Tamandua tetradactyla: one gene and its partner. The protein of the gene in region 1 interacts with the protein of each later gene in a pairwise test. Links are inferred from orthologs where the notes say so. Each region holds a gene or a part of one and is shown on either strand. Other genes may lie near its edges.

Region 1 (7,216 bases):
GGCAGAAAGATAACAATCAATGTGAATTTTTTTTTATATGCTGTATAGCAGGGTCACATTTAATTATTTTTCCATGTGAGTATCCTGTTATTGCGGCTCCACATGCTGAATTTTTTGTTTGTTTTTGTTTACTTTGTTTGTTTTTCAAGGGAAGTGCATACACTAGGACTTGAACCCGGGTCTCCTGCCATGGCAGGCAAGAATTCTACCACTGAACTACCCTTGCACACCCCTTGCCCCAATGTAAATTTCAGTACTGATATTAACAAAGGAGGTTGACACTTAGTGAATCCACACAATATGCCATTACAAAAAGGTAGAAGAGTACACCAGCACACCTTTAGTGTCTCTTCACATCAGGGCAAAATAAAAGACATGGCTCAGTTATTGCCTAAAGAACTACCAAAACTCAATGAAAACTCCAAGATTCCTCTTCGCTGCTCACCTGGCTGATTTACTTTTCTTTTTCCCACCTCTATGGACTTCCTGCAATACGCAGAAACAAATAATGGACAGAAAACAATTAAGAAGGATCTGCAGTGTGTATGTCATGGCACTCTATTCACAGAATGAAACTCCCAAACCTTACTGCTCCATTTCTTGGTGGTCACAAAGAATAATTTTGTTCTATACCTCTAGACAAATGTCAGTCTAAACCCTGTGGATTATGATCTAAGTGATCTTTCGGCAAGTTACTTCACTTATCTGTGCCTCTGTGATCATAAAAGTATTTATCTACCTCATAAATACCTCATGGGAGGCTTACAGTAGACAATGTCTGCAACATATTTATCTCAATGCCTAAGACATAGGAAGTACTCAATAATATTCACTATTGTCACTAATAATTTAAAAGTGTAGAGGCTAAGAGCAGATTCTGGGGCCAAATAACTTAGGTTCAAATCCTAGAATTGCTGGTGATCTTGGACAAGTTACCTAACCTCTCTGAGCTGCACACATTTTTAATGAAGATCAAATCAGTTACTATACATAAAGGGTTAAGAACAGTGCCCAGCATTTAGTAAGCACATTTAAGTGTTTGTTATTGCTAACATGCAAACAATTTATGGGAAGGAAATAAAAAAAAAGGAAAAAGAATTTGCAAACTGAAAACACAATGAACAGCTTTATGTTCAAAAAACCCAAACAAACAAAAAACAAAGCACAAACAACAGCTCAGTTTTATCACATCATCACTAGGTCACTATACACTGGGGCAGGCATCATCCCCCAGAGCTTTAAAAGCATCCAAAAGTATATAAACTTGAAATCTAACTTCCTGGACAACTGAATAAAAACAACAGACTGCCTTTTTTTGGGTACCTACATTAGCATAATACTTAAGAGCACGGACTCTTGAGAAGGACATAAGGTTTGAGTCCCATCAACTTCTCTGAATAAATGTGTGCCTAGGATGTGTCTCCTAACCTCTCTGAGGCTCCAAAGATTCCGTATTTGTAAAATAGGAATAATTATACAGATACTACATGGTTATTTTCAGGGTTAAATAGGACTATCTGTATATAAAGGACTTGACACAGTGATGGCTATTTCCAATACAGTGCAAGAGTGTTTCTTCACATAGATGGGCTTAAAATCCTTTCAATAACATCATAAGGTAGCTAATACCGCACTTATACATAAAGAAAATGGAGACCAGAGATGTTAAGTAATCTGCCCAATGCCACACAGCTAATAATAAATGGCCCAAAGAAACAGAATTCCAAGCCAGAATTCACTAGGAGTACTGCTCTTCGCCATCTACTCACAACGCCTAATAGAAAACAGAGTCCTCTTTTTCTTGGGGCTCAAATGGTTAAGTATTTAATCTGCTCACTCAACAAATTATGCCCTACATGCCAGGCACTGAGCTATGTGCTGGAATTACAGTGGTAATTCCTGCCTTTTTGAAGTTTATGTTTCCGTGGGAGAGACAATCGACAGGTAATCACAAAAATAAGCAATAATAATAGCCAAACAGGCTGAGGCTTTTAACTGGTGGGGGCGTGGTGGCTATTCTGTAATCAGGATCAGAGGTGTTGAGGGGAAAGGCGGGAGAAGAGCCTGGTGGGTTCAGAAAAACAAGAAAAAGAACCAAGGGGGTTGAAGACAAGATGCCAGAGAATGGTTATGATATGTATGACCTTGCAGCCGAAGACCAGATTCGCATTTTGTATCCCCACAGCATCAAAAAATGTGGGATCTAGATTCAGGCACGTCTGTATCGAGGCCTGGTTATCTCTGGACCATGGGAAAATTACCTAGTATCTTCTCACTGGGTACTTCACGTGAAAAATTGGTAGGCATGGTTACCGCTGCCAAGACTGAGAGGATTCAATGAGGCAATGCGCAGCCTCACAAATATTAATACTGTTTGCAGAACGAAATGAAAATACCCACATCCCATCTCATGTGGTCGTTTTCGGTACCTAGGCCCCTCTACAGTGACCTCACCACTGTACCCTAAACTTATCAAGAGAAAGGCTTTTCCTGCGAAAGCCCCCCCCTCCACCCCATCAGCTCATTCCCGAATTGGCCCTTGGCCCCGCCCAACATCACGCTTGGGAGCGGCACATGTCAACCAGATCGCCATTTCTGCCCTCTCCTCTCCCACGCAGCCCTCTTTCCCAGGGCTCTTGAGCTGAGGCACCCACCCCGGACCCCGCCATTCCGTTCCCCCTTTCGCCCTCGCGTGACGTAAGGCTGAATCGGGGAAGCTGTGGCCGCCCTCCGCCCCCAGGGTTTCCCAGGTCACTCCAACCCAAACACGCACTGCAGGCCCCGCGCCCCAGGGCCGGGTCGCCGTCGCTACCGCTGGGCGCGAGCCGCGTGGGCCTGGGCCGGGCAGGGGTGGCGGGCGAGCTGCTCACCACGATACTGGGGCTGCGGGTCGCCATAACGGAGCCTGGCGGAGGAAAAAAGAAGCCGGCAGCGAAAAGGAGGAGGAGATGGAGGCGGAGGCGGAGACGGCGTTGCGCGGGAAGGCCAGAGGTTCGCGGGAAAGCTCTAGGTCACCGCTGCAGACGCTACCGCCGCCGTTCGGAGCTGAGGCAGCGCAGGCCCCGCCCCTCGCCCCGCCCCGGCCCCGACGCTGCGCCCCCCACGCCCTCCTGCGCGTTCCCGCGCCTCTGCCTGCGGCTACTGGTTTCACCTTCACGTGGCGGCCCCGCAAATTTTCGACCGGAAGGAGCGGAATTACCTTCCCCCACCCCACCCCCACCTCCAGCGTAGCTTTTCCCTTCTTTTCCCCCCACCCCACCCCCACCTCCAGCGTAGCTTCTCCCTTCTTTTCCTCAGGCTCTTATACAGAGGGCTCTGAGATTTCCAAACATACCCCCAAAACCCAAATTGGGCGCCGAATTTTCGGGGTCGAGTTACCACAGGGCTCCTCCCGCCAGGCGAACCTTTGCCAAGATTGTGGACTACATTGCGGCTTCCATTTTCCTCACTCGTGGCTCGAAATCCTTAACTGGTTGTAAGGGTTAAAACCCGGAACCCTAGAGTTAGTCATATCAGGGTACAGGTCCCGGGGTGAGGTGGGAGAGGGAGGACACTTAACTGCTCTGTAACCCTTGGGCTCACTTAGATTCTCTGAGGCTCTTTTATGTCCTGGGTGAAAAGGCTGTGAAAACCGAGAGGGTTGTTGTGAGGGTGAAAGCGGATGAGATGTAGATGTAGATGTTTTGAGAGAGCAGTAAAGTACAGTCGTTAGGACAGAATACACTCAGTAAGTGGGAAACATTGCTATTTCCTATCATTATTTTTGCCTCCGGAATTCCCTACTTGGAACTGAAAAGCAAAAAATCCTCCCTATTCCCAAAAAGGTCAGGTTAGCCACAGTTGTTCCAGTGTCACCATTCCGCTGGTCCTTATCTGTATAGCTCCAGCACCCAGCAGAGCGCCCAGCGCATAATTAGACGGTGTGTCACCCACCACCATCCCCCCCCCCCGCCCCATTAAGGACACAAGGATGTGAAACATACATGATGGAGAACTTTACTGAGCCCCAGAACCTCATCTAAAAACTGAGAAGAATAATTCCTACCATGACAAGTTATTATAAGAATTCATAAAAATCATGTCTGTAAAGCACCTACCACCGTACTTGCCACTTAGGAGTAGATGCTTGAGAAGTTGTAGCTGTTATCATTTTAGCCTTTATGAACGCCACACTTCCCAAGTTTCTCTGCCTTCCCTGTCTATCAAGGAGATCCATGGCAGGCCACAAAATGTGAAAGGTACATGTGGACTTTGGACTGAGAAAGATCTGAGTTGAATTTCTGGAATTCACATACTAGAATTATGACCTCAGCCAGGAATCTTGATCACTGAGTGCCTCAGTTTCCTCATATGTTAGATGAGGATTATATCTCCTTCACAGCGGATGGTAAGGATTAAACAAAATAATACATGCAGAAGTGCCTAGCATAGTGCTTGCTGCAGGAAGTGATAATACCAGTGTTACGAGCTACATATCTTTGCCTTAATCAGTTTTTCACTCCATCCTTCTAGCCTCCAAGCCTTCTTATTCGTTCTCCTGTTAGTGGGCATTTTCCAGGTTTTGACCATTACAAAAAATAGCGCTGCTGCTATGAACACTCTATGTGTCTTCTGGTGAATGTATGAGTACATTTCTATGGGGTAGGGGCATTGAAGTTCAAGTTAACACATTTTTATTACTTCTCCTTTTAATTAACATTGTGTTCTCCAGGGAAGTTAATTCTGAGCCTTCCCCATTGTCCAGTTAGCCCTGACACATGCAAATTCATTACCTGTATTTGCTTCTAAATTAGGTACTGTTTTAGTTTGCTGACGTTGCAGAAATGCAAAAATGGACTGCCTTTTAACAATGGGGATTTATTAACTTAAAAAATTTACTGTTCTGAAGCCCTGAAAAAGTCCAAATTAAGGCATCAAGAGGACCATACCTTATTTCTGAAGAGAAGTTGCCAGCATCTGGAGCCCCACCCCACCCCCACATGGGAAGGCACATGGCTGAGGTCTACTAGTCCTTCTCTCCTGGGTTTCAGCTTCTGGCTGCTCCTTCAGTGGCTTTCTTTCTGAGTTTGTTTGTTTCTCTAAGCTTTGGTCTCTCTTAGCTTCTCTGGCTTTTCTCCCTCAGCTTCTCTGTGTGCTTCTATGAATGTTATCTCTTATAAAGGACTCCAGTAAGAGAATTAAGACCTACTTGGGACAGTCAGAATTCTTCCAGCTTGTTTCTGGAATTGCAGTTCCATTCTCAGTGCTCTGATGTACCACACACTCCTGCATTTCAACAGCAAATTTTAAATAGTCATTATAAAGGCAAAAGAACTGTTATTTCAATCCTGTCGTGCTATGTGACCACTTAGAGTGCTTGTGTTTTAAATTTTAAATAGCGAACAGAGTGCAAACTGCAAGATGTACTATTTTTGTTTGGTAAGCAATATTTTGATTCGTATATGCTGTTCTGGTTTGCTAAAGCTACTGGAATGCAATATACCAAAAATGGATTGACTTTTACAATGGTGATTTATTCACTTAGAATTTACAGTTCTAAGGCCATGAAAACATCCCAACTGAGGCATCAACAGGATGATACCTAGACTGTGAAGACAGGCTGCTGGTATCTGGGATACCTCTTGTCACATGGGACGGGACATGGTGGTCTGCTGGTCCTTCTCTCCTGGGCTTCACTGCTTTCGGCTTCTGGTTCCAGTGGCCTCCTATCTGAGCTTCTGTGGGTCCTCTCTTAGCTTCTCCAGAGCTTTTCTCTCTAAGCTCTCTTGGCTTTTTCCATCCTTTATCACTCCTAAAGGACTCCAGTAAAAAGGATTACCACAAACCCTAAACGTGGTGGGTTACATCTCAATTGAAATAACTGAACCAAAAGGTCCCATCCACAACAGGTCTGCACCCACAGGAATGGATTGAAAGAACATGGCCTTTTTCTGGGGTACATTACAGCTTCAAACCAGCACATATGTAAAATTGAAATTCAGACTTCTTTGAAAGTTTTATTGTTTAAAACTAAAGAAATCAAGAAAATAACGGGGCAATCGGCATCAGCCTAAAAAATGTGTTTCAGGGTGACGAGCTGCAGGGCCCTGCTGGGCAGAAAGCCCTAAAAACCCGCAGTGCGTGGGAGGGGAAGGGGAATGGGGGTGAGGGAGGTGTCAGGAGTGTCAGGTGACTGCCGGGGCAAAGGCCACGGAAGTGACGTCTCAAACGGACGCCATCTTCCCTGAGGCTGTGGGTGAGGAGAGGGCTGAAGCGGCGTTGAAGAAGTTGGAGGAGAAAGGCCTGAAGGAGAAGAAAGTAGCGAAGGAGGAGGTAAAGGTAGAGGAGAAGCCAGTAGAAGCAGAAATGGAAGCGGCAAAGGAACAGAGAGCAGTAAAATCGGTGGAGGAGGCGCAGGTGGAGGCGGTGGTGGAGGCGGTGGAGGAGGTGGTGGAAGAGGCGCAGGTGGAGGCGGTGGAAGAGGTGCAGGTGGAGGAGGCAGCACAGGAGGAGGAAGCTGTTGAAGAGGCCCAGGAGGAAGCGGTGGAGGAGGCGCAGGAGGAGGCGCAAGAGGAGGCTGTGGAGGAGGCGCAGCAGGAGGCCATGGAGGAGGAGGTGGTGGAGGCAGAGGAGGAGGCGCAGGAGGAGGAGGCCGTGGAGGAGGCCCAGGAGGAGGCTGTGGAGGAGGCCCAGGAGGAGGCTGTGGAGGAGGCCCAGGAGGAGGCCGTGGAGGAGGAGGAGGAGGACGAGGAGGAGGAGGTGGTGGAGGCGGAGGAGGCGGCGGCGGCGGCGGTGCAGGAGGAGGCCGTGGAGGAGGCCGTGGAGGAAGAGGAGGCGGCGGAGAAGGAGGAGGCGGCGGCGGAGGAGGAGGAGGAGGAGGCGGAGGAGGAGGCGGAGGAGGAGGAGGAGGAGGAGGAGGAAGAGGAGGAGGAGGAAGAGGAGGAGGAGGAGGAAGAGGAGGAGGAGGAGGAGGAGGCGGAGGAGGAGGAGGAGGAGGAGGAGGAGGAGGAGGAGGAGGCGGCGGAGGAGGAGGAGGAGGAGGAGGCGGCGGCGGCGGCGGCGCAGGAGGAGGCCGTGGAGGAGGCGCCGCAGGGGGCGCTGAAGGAAGCGGTGGAGGAGGCGCCGCAGGGGGCGCTAGAGGAAGCGGTGGAGGAGGCCCCGCAGGGGGCGCTGGAGGGAGCAGCGGAAGAGGAGCCGGAGGAGGAGGTGGACGTAGAGCTGGAGATGGTGCTGCGGC
Region 2 (7,282 bases), on another chromosome or scaffold:
GAGGTATGATTTTTTGCATTTCTTGCCCTATTGGATTGGGGCTTGCTAACCAAATAGTTGTGGTTTTCCTTTGATGAGTAAAATTCAAAAAACTTTTTACATAGCTGCAGCTGAAATTAAGAGTACAAAGGTGAGTTTGGTTTACTATTTCAGAAAAGGTCAGACATACAAACAGAGGAACTAAGATTCAGTCTCTGCTCTAATCATTTATAACATCAACTTGTGCCATCTCGCAGGAATAAAAATGGAGACCAAATGAAACGCTGTGTGTGCAGATGATTTTTAAACTGCAAAGCACTGTAAAAACAAAGGGATTACGTTATTACCTTTAAGGATGAAAACCAGCCATACCTGTAATTTCATTACATCACCGCAAGCTGGAGCCCCCACTAAGCCAGTACCAACATTTTTAGATGTCTTGTCAAGGGACCCCACATTTCTAGGATTTTCATAATGATCAACAACCTGAAATGAGAGGGTTAAGAGAATCATTATCACTCTTTTTCTTTTTGATTATGACATACTTTATGTAACTAATCCCTTGTTCTTTCTTTTAATTGTGAAAAGTAACATATATACAAAAAAGCAATAAATTTCAAAGCACACTGCAACAATTAGTTATAGAATAGATTTTAGAGTTTGGTATGGGTTGAAGTTCCACAGTTTTAAGTTTTTCCTTTTAGCTGCTCTAAGGCATTGGAGACTAAAAGAAATATCAGTATAGTGATTCAGCAGTCTGGCTCACTTAGTAAGTCCTATCTTCTCTGTTATAATTCCACATTCTCCTTTGATCTTTCTCCCAATCTTTAGGGGTATTTGAGCTATGCATATTCTGACTTTTTCATGTTGGAAAGGGCTGTAAATAATGTGGGTTGGGGGATGGAATTAGTTGATGATCTGGAGAGGCTGGCCCCTCTGCTTTCAGGATCATCTGGCCTAGGAACCCATCTGGAGGTTGTAGGTTTCTGGAAAGTAATCATAGTACATGGTACCTTTGTAGAATCTTATATAATGCTTTAGGTGTTCTTTAGGGTGGGCAGGAATGGTTTGGTTGGGGATTGGCAAACTATAATAAATAGCAATATCTAGCTGTGGCTTGGGTAAGAGTAGACTCCAGAGTAGTCTCTTGACTCTATTTGAACTCTCTGAGCCACTGATACCTTATTTGTTACAATTCTTTCCCCCCTTTTGGTCAGGATGGCACTGTTGATCCCATGGTGCTAGGGCCAGGCTCATCCCTGGGGATCACTCTTGATACTGGTCTCCTCGACATGAATTTAAGTTCCAGGAGGTAGGGAATTGAATCTTACTAATCCGTGTTCCCTCAAAGACTGGCACAAGGCCTGCAACCTGGCAGTCAACCTGTAAAAATACCAGTCTACACTCATGTCAACAAGGCTTTATTCATGACCCAAAGTCTTTTCGTATTTCCACTCCTATCTTCAGATTCTGTTTGAGATACTGGAGAAAAATCACCTAAATCATGTCTTGGTTTCATTAAGATTTTGTTTGTTTTGGCATGGGTAGGCACTGGGAATCAAACCCAGGTCTCCAGCATGGCAGGTGAGAACTCTGCCTGTTGAGCCACGGTAACCCACTCTCCATTAAGGTTTTTAATCACAAATGATTACTTCAACTTGTACCCATCCAAGTCATCAATTTAGGTTCAAGCAGCATTTTTGTTATTTCAAAATAAAATCCACTCTTAAAGGATAATGATTACAATTAGAAAATTCTAAAGTAACTATGTTTCAGAAATTGAAGTCCTTTCCAGAAGTTTCCACGTGACTTGTAGACACTCTGAAATCAGGCTGGTTAAACAGTGCACCCTGGTGGCTGAAAAGCTTTTAGCTTTAAATTCACTGAGTGTACTGTCAAAAAACACTGGTGTGTGTGCGGTGTGATAATCCTGAGCTGTGGGCAAATATGCAGAAACCAGACTAAATGTCCATTCAAACTGGCAAACAGAAGGCTTAAATAACGGTTAAGTGTCTTGATCTTCTTGTTTTCTTCCCTCTTCTATCCTTCCACGGATTTTAACATTAAGCCCAAGGACCCACAAAATAATATCTAATTTGGATATTGCCATATGTTGAATGCCAGCAATCTTTGCTTTTTTATCCCAATCCCAAGTGAAAGTCTCATCTCTAAGATACCTTAAACTCCCAGAAGGCAGGGCTGCAAACTTCGCAGCCCCCGGCCCCAAACCCAAAACGTAACAAAAACAAAAACATGATTATTGGTGACACGTCTGACTCCAACAGGAGGCTGTGTGCTCCAAAAAGGCAGAAACCAGTACTTCCATAAGGCCTACCTGAGATAATTTTACTACAACAGCAGCATTAATAGTTTTTATATGTTGAGCCTAAGAGCCAGACACCACACCGAGCACGTCACAAGCATCATCTCTTGTAAGAGGGGACTGCTAAGACCTCTATCTTATGAGTGTGGAAACTGAGGTTCAGCGAGGGGCAGTGACTCGCCCAAGGTCACTTAGCTAGGGCAGTGGTCTGGCTAAAGTGGATCCCTAGCGGTGGGGTGTAGCCCACCCGGGCTGCTGGGAAGTTTAAAGGCGCACTAAACAGCAGTCAGCTGCGAGGCCCACAGGAAGTAGCCGCTATTGTAAGCGTTATTATTTTGGTTTGTATTGCGGTTAGTGTTACTGCGCAGCGAGGAAAAGTTAGTCGAGACAGAAGACGGGAGAGGGGACGACCCCCCCACCGTCCCCTCTCCGTTCCTCACACTTACACTCCCCGGCCGGTGCGGGCCCTGTGCACCCCTTTACTCGTTCCTACCTTCTTGTGATAAAGCCGGGCCGGGGCGGACAGCTCCCGGGCGGGCAGGCGCTTGCTCTGCAGTAGCAAGGCCGACGTAGCCCGTCGTAGACGGCCAGCTCCGGCCGCCGCCATGTTGCGGGGACGCCCCTAACGCAAGCCCACACCGAGTCTGAAGCTGCGAAGCGCGCCGCCTACTTGACTCGGGACTTCGGATCCAAGGACGCGTCGCTTTACGTCCCGGCATCTTCGCGCTTGCGCACTTCCAATCCGCCCAGTCTGTTCTTTGGCTCTACCTTGGCCACGCCCCCCCAAGGGGCGGGGCGGGGCGCGGGAAGGTCTGAAGTTACTATAAGATCTTGTTTTTCGTGTTGGGTTCTGGATGCAGGAACGGGTTTAAGGTTTGAACGCTGTGCCCAAGCTTGAGCTGGCTAAGCTCACCGCTGGAATGCACAGATCACCCGATCCACTTTTCCTAACCTATTTTGCAGCCAAACAAGTTGAGGTTCAGAGAGGTTTAGTAACTCGCTCAAAGAGTTAGGTATACAGTTGGGATTCCAGCAAAGACAGTCCTGGGTTAGAATTCTGGTTCTGCGTCTTCCTGTCTCTGTGACTCTAAGCGAATGATATCAGGTCTTTATGATTTGGTCATCTGTTCTGATTTAAGGGGAATTTTTTCATCCACTCAGCACATACGTGTTGACTACGTACGTTAAGTCTCCATACCAGGCTTTGGGAATGCAACGAAAAGCAAAACATGTTTGCTCAAGACAATAAACAAGGAAACACGTCAATACTTTACTACCTCAAAAATGGGAAGTTTAATTAGAGAAACGAACACCATGCCCTGATTAAAAAAAAGCATGTATACATATATATAATATATAGTCTCCATATAGAAAATAACCGCAAACAACAAAATGTATATGGTAATCCCAGGCAACTGAGTTTCTCAATTAATGCTTGGTATTAACTTTTATTTTAATTAATATTTTAGATGTGCAGAATATGATTTTTTAAAACTAGACTCAGGAGTATTCGCATTACGTAAAGGGGAAGAATCGTTTCGGGCAATGCATTTTTCTCACGAGTAGCGCAGTCTATCCTTCCCGGAGGACGTGGAGTTTTCTCCGCGTTTGGGGCTCGGTTGCTGGGGAGACTAAACAACGAGCCATATCAGACCTTACTTTTAGTAAGGTCTCCGTTCCAAGAATTACTTTGACCTTCTCAAGATGGCGCCACAACCTCATTGCTCCCCCCCCACTTCCTGTCCAAACATCCAACTTCTGTCCGAAGTTGTAACGAAAGTCATGTTATATTAATGAGACTTTTCTGTGATGGGAGCTTTTATAAGTACATAAAAATAGTATTAATTGAGCGTATCTCGAGATTTTTCTGTCACTCGAGGCTCACAGCTTTCCTTTCGATCGCGAGAGAGCAGGGTTTTGGTCAGGCGCACGCCGCGGGCAGCTTCTACTTCCGTCGGTCTTCGGCGGCGGAGCGAAGACCCGAGAATTATCCGAGGCACAAAATGGCGACGGCGGCTGCAACCTCGGCTTCAGAATCGGAGGCTGAGCTCAAGGCTGGGCCCGAGGCTGAGGGAGAGGAGGATGAGGCTAAGGCGACGAGGACGAGGAGGAAGGTGTTATCTCGGGCTGTGGCCGCTGCGACATACAAGACCATGGGGCCAGAGTGGGATCAGCAGGAGGAAGGCGTGAGTGAGAGCGATGGAGACGAGGAATACGCCATGGCTTCCTCAGCCGAGAGCTCCCCCGGGGAGTACGAGTGGGAGTACGACGAAGAGGAGGAGAAGAACCAGCTGGAAATCGAGCGGCTGGAGGAGCAGGTGTGCTCGGGGGTGGGCAGCGGGCTCTTTCCCTCAGGTACCCGGGTCCGGGCTCGCCCCTCGTCCGACTGCGCTTGCTCGGGTACCTCTCCCGTCCGCAGCAGTAATGCCCCCAAGGCCGCAGTAACTCTTTTTCAGTCACCGTAGCGCCATCGTTTGAGCATTACCTGCGTGTGGGGCGCTTTCTAAGCGTATTCCATTAAATCCTAACAACGACCCAGTGAAGGAAATAGTGTATTCTCGTTTTAACTGGAGGAAACTGAGGCTTGTGGAGGGAAGTCTCTTGCTCAAGATTTCATGTCCTACAGGTGGCCAGTCAGGCTTTGAACGCTGAACCAACACCAGAACTCTCATTCTTAACCACACAGTTAAATTGCGTTCAACAGCAACAATAAATCTCATTTGTAAGAGAGAATAATTTTCCTGTAGGAAGGACAGCATTAATGAAATATGATGTAGTAGGAAAAATATTCACGGTAATCATGACAACAGAAATGGGAAGGTAGAAGTTTTGGCTCTCAAGGCTAAAGGCGCCAGTTCCGGCTATCATTTGGGCGATTTTCTTAAATTCTCTGAGTCTTTGCTTCCTGAATTGTAAATAGGGAGTGGCAATTTCTGTATCTTAGCATTGCCATGACAGTTATGATAGCCGAGTGCCTGGCAGCCAATGTCAACCAGATTGCTAATTTCTGAAGAGTCTTGGGAGGTGTAGGTGGTATTATCTCCTGTATAAATCAAGTCTCAGCAGGAAATAGATGGTACACTCAAGTTAGGATAATTTGAGGAAAGGTTGATAAAGGGACGGTTGCATTTATAAAAGTGTGGACCGGGAAATCAGGAGCAAAGTTTAGTACCATTTAATAATAGGAGGACTTTGTTTCCACCTTTAGACTTGAAGGGGCAAGGGGAGTGACATGTAGAAGAGATGGGTAGAGAGGGAACCTGAGAGGATTTGAGACCTTTGGTCAAGAGATGCAGCCTCAGTTTCCCGGCAGGAGTTGGGGTAGGGGAAGAAATACCCTGGCCTCCTTCTCCCTTGTCTCTCTCTCTCCTCCCTGTGAAAGTCTGCTGGGTGCTTCCTGCTGGGCAAACTCACCTGATTATTAGAGGGCTAGGGAATCTGTTAATGTGGTCAGCACAGGGCAGGGCAGAGGAGAGGGTGGATGAATTTGGAGGAAGAAACAGAAGAGATAGAGCACATTTCATTTTACTGATGAGGAAACAGAGGCTCAGAACAAATGATAAAGTGAGTTACTATTCAGAAGCTTTCAAAGTAGCCTCTGGATCAAATGCAACACTAGATGTGAAATCTCTCTGTGATATGAAGATTATTAACCTAGATTACTCATTTAATCTTATGGAGTGTAAGGTTAATGATAATTTTCCCTCTGGCATTGATATTTTTATGTTATGAAACAGTGATATTCTTTGGTTATCTTCTTCCACTTATCATTGCATCTCATTGTCAAAGGAACCAACCAGAGGTTAGAAGGCAGTTAACAATTTTCCTTTTTATAAATAAATATGCTGCAGTTTATTCAGTCTTTTATTCATTCAGCAAATACAGTGTGATTCTGGGTGCTAGGCTGACTGTTTCCCTGCCTACATTGAAATAATTTCTTCAAACTTCTAGTTCTGGGCCTTTTGATGAGCCAGCTCACTTTGACCTTACTGTTACATGAGGATCACCTGTTTTAGTAGGAAGGGAAGGCTTGGAATGGATATGAAGCCCTTGATCGTGCACAGTTTTACTAATGGGGAGGAGGGGTCAGAGTGAAGGTATGCTGGCAGTGGATGCTGTGCAGTTGCCTGCCTGACTTATATCTTTAGTTCACCTAGGTTGGTATGGAGCTTAGAAAGTGTCCACACAGTATGCGACCTTGTAAGTGATAGTGAGCTAAGGGTCTTTGGCCTTATCCTCTTTATCTTGGGCTTTAAAAATTTATTTTTCCAATATTTGCATACCTCCTTCCCACATCATTGTAATCCCACAGCCTCTAGTTCCTCCTGTAACTGCCCTTATAGTAGAGCATAATGACAAGTAACTTCCAAATAGGGCGGTGCAGATCTTGGCCTTGCCACATCTGCGTATTCCAGTTTTCGTTCTTGAGTTTATTTTATGCAGGCTTGTGATTTGCTGTGATATCTGTTCATGTAACAAAAACAAAGACTTTATATTAGTTGTGTTTTTGGGCTGAAACTAAAAGTAGCACCTCCTCGTGCCTTAAGCACATTTGTCAGTGTACCATGGTGCAGCACAAAGAGTATAGCTTTGCAAACTATACTCAAATCAGGTGATCCACTTACTAGTCAGAAGACCTTGGACAAGTTATTTCAAGTCTCTGAGCCTATTTTATCCCAGTTGGTAAAAAGGAGATTGTAGTAATGCCTCTCACAGGGCTTTAATGGGGGTTAAGTGACACAATGCATGTAAAATTGCCCAGTTTGGCTCTGCTATGCATAGTAGCTGCTATACAAAGGTTGGTTCCATTCTCTTTTCTCTGCTCTTCCTGTGGTTGCACCAGTTGTTTTCTTTCTACCACGCCTCTCATTTTTCTCCACGCTCATTCTAGGTTCAGATCAGTACTTTTCACACTGCTAGGAAGTTAGGACATCAGTGGATCATTTTGTACATTGGCTAAGCCCCCTCTTTAAAGCCTCC

Evidence for each region.
Region 2: the proteins of hypoxanthine-guanine phosphoribosyltransferase (region 1) and ISCU interact in binary tests that used the Homo sapiens proteins (3 or more experiments, as listed by UniProt). The two-hybrid records come from large-scale screens. The link is inferred for Tamandua tetradactyla from reciprocal best matches to the Homo sapiens genes HPRT1 and ISCU.

What each region holds. Positions count from the first base shown.
Region 1 is NC_135353.1:27,487,877-27,495,092, forward strand, and holds the start of hypoxanthine-guanine phosphoribosyltransferase, read right to left. Parts: upstream 3,062-7,216; 5' UTR 2,898-3,061; coding exon 2,871-2,897; intron 1-2,870. UniProt on the Homo sapiens protein: Converts guanine to guanosine monophosphate, and hypoxanthine to inosine monophosphate. Transfers the 5-phosphoribosyl group from 5-phosphoribosylpyrophosphate onto the purine.
Region 2 is NC_135331.1:22,830,520-22,837,801, forward strand, and holds the start of ISCU (iron-sulfur cluster assembly enzyme ISCU), read right to left. Parts: upstream 3,033-7,282; 5' UTR 2,910-3,032; coding exon 2,796-2,909; intron 466-2,795; coding exon 352-465; intron 1-351. Other genes in the region: SART3 (spliceosome associated factor 3, U4/U6 recycling protein), read left to right, coding at 4,306-4,620.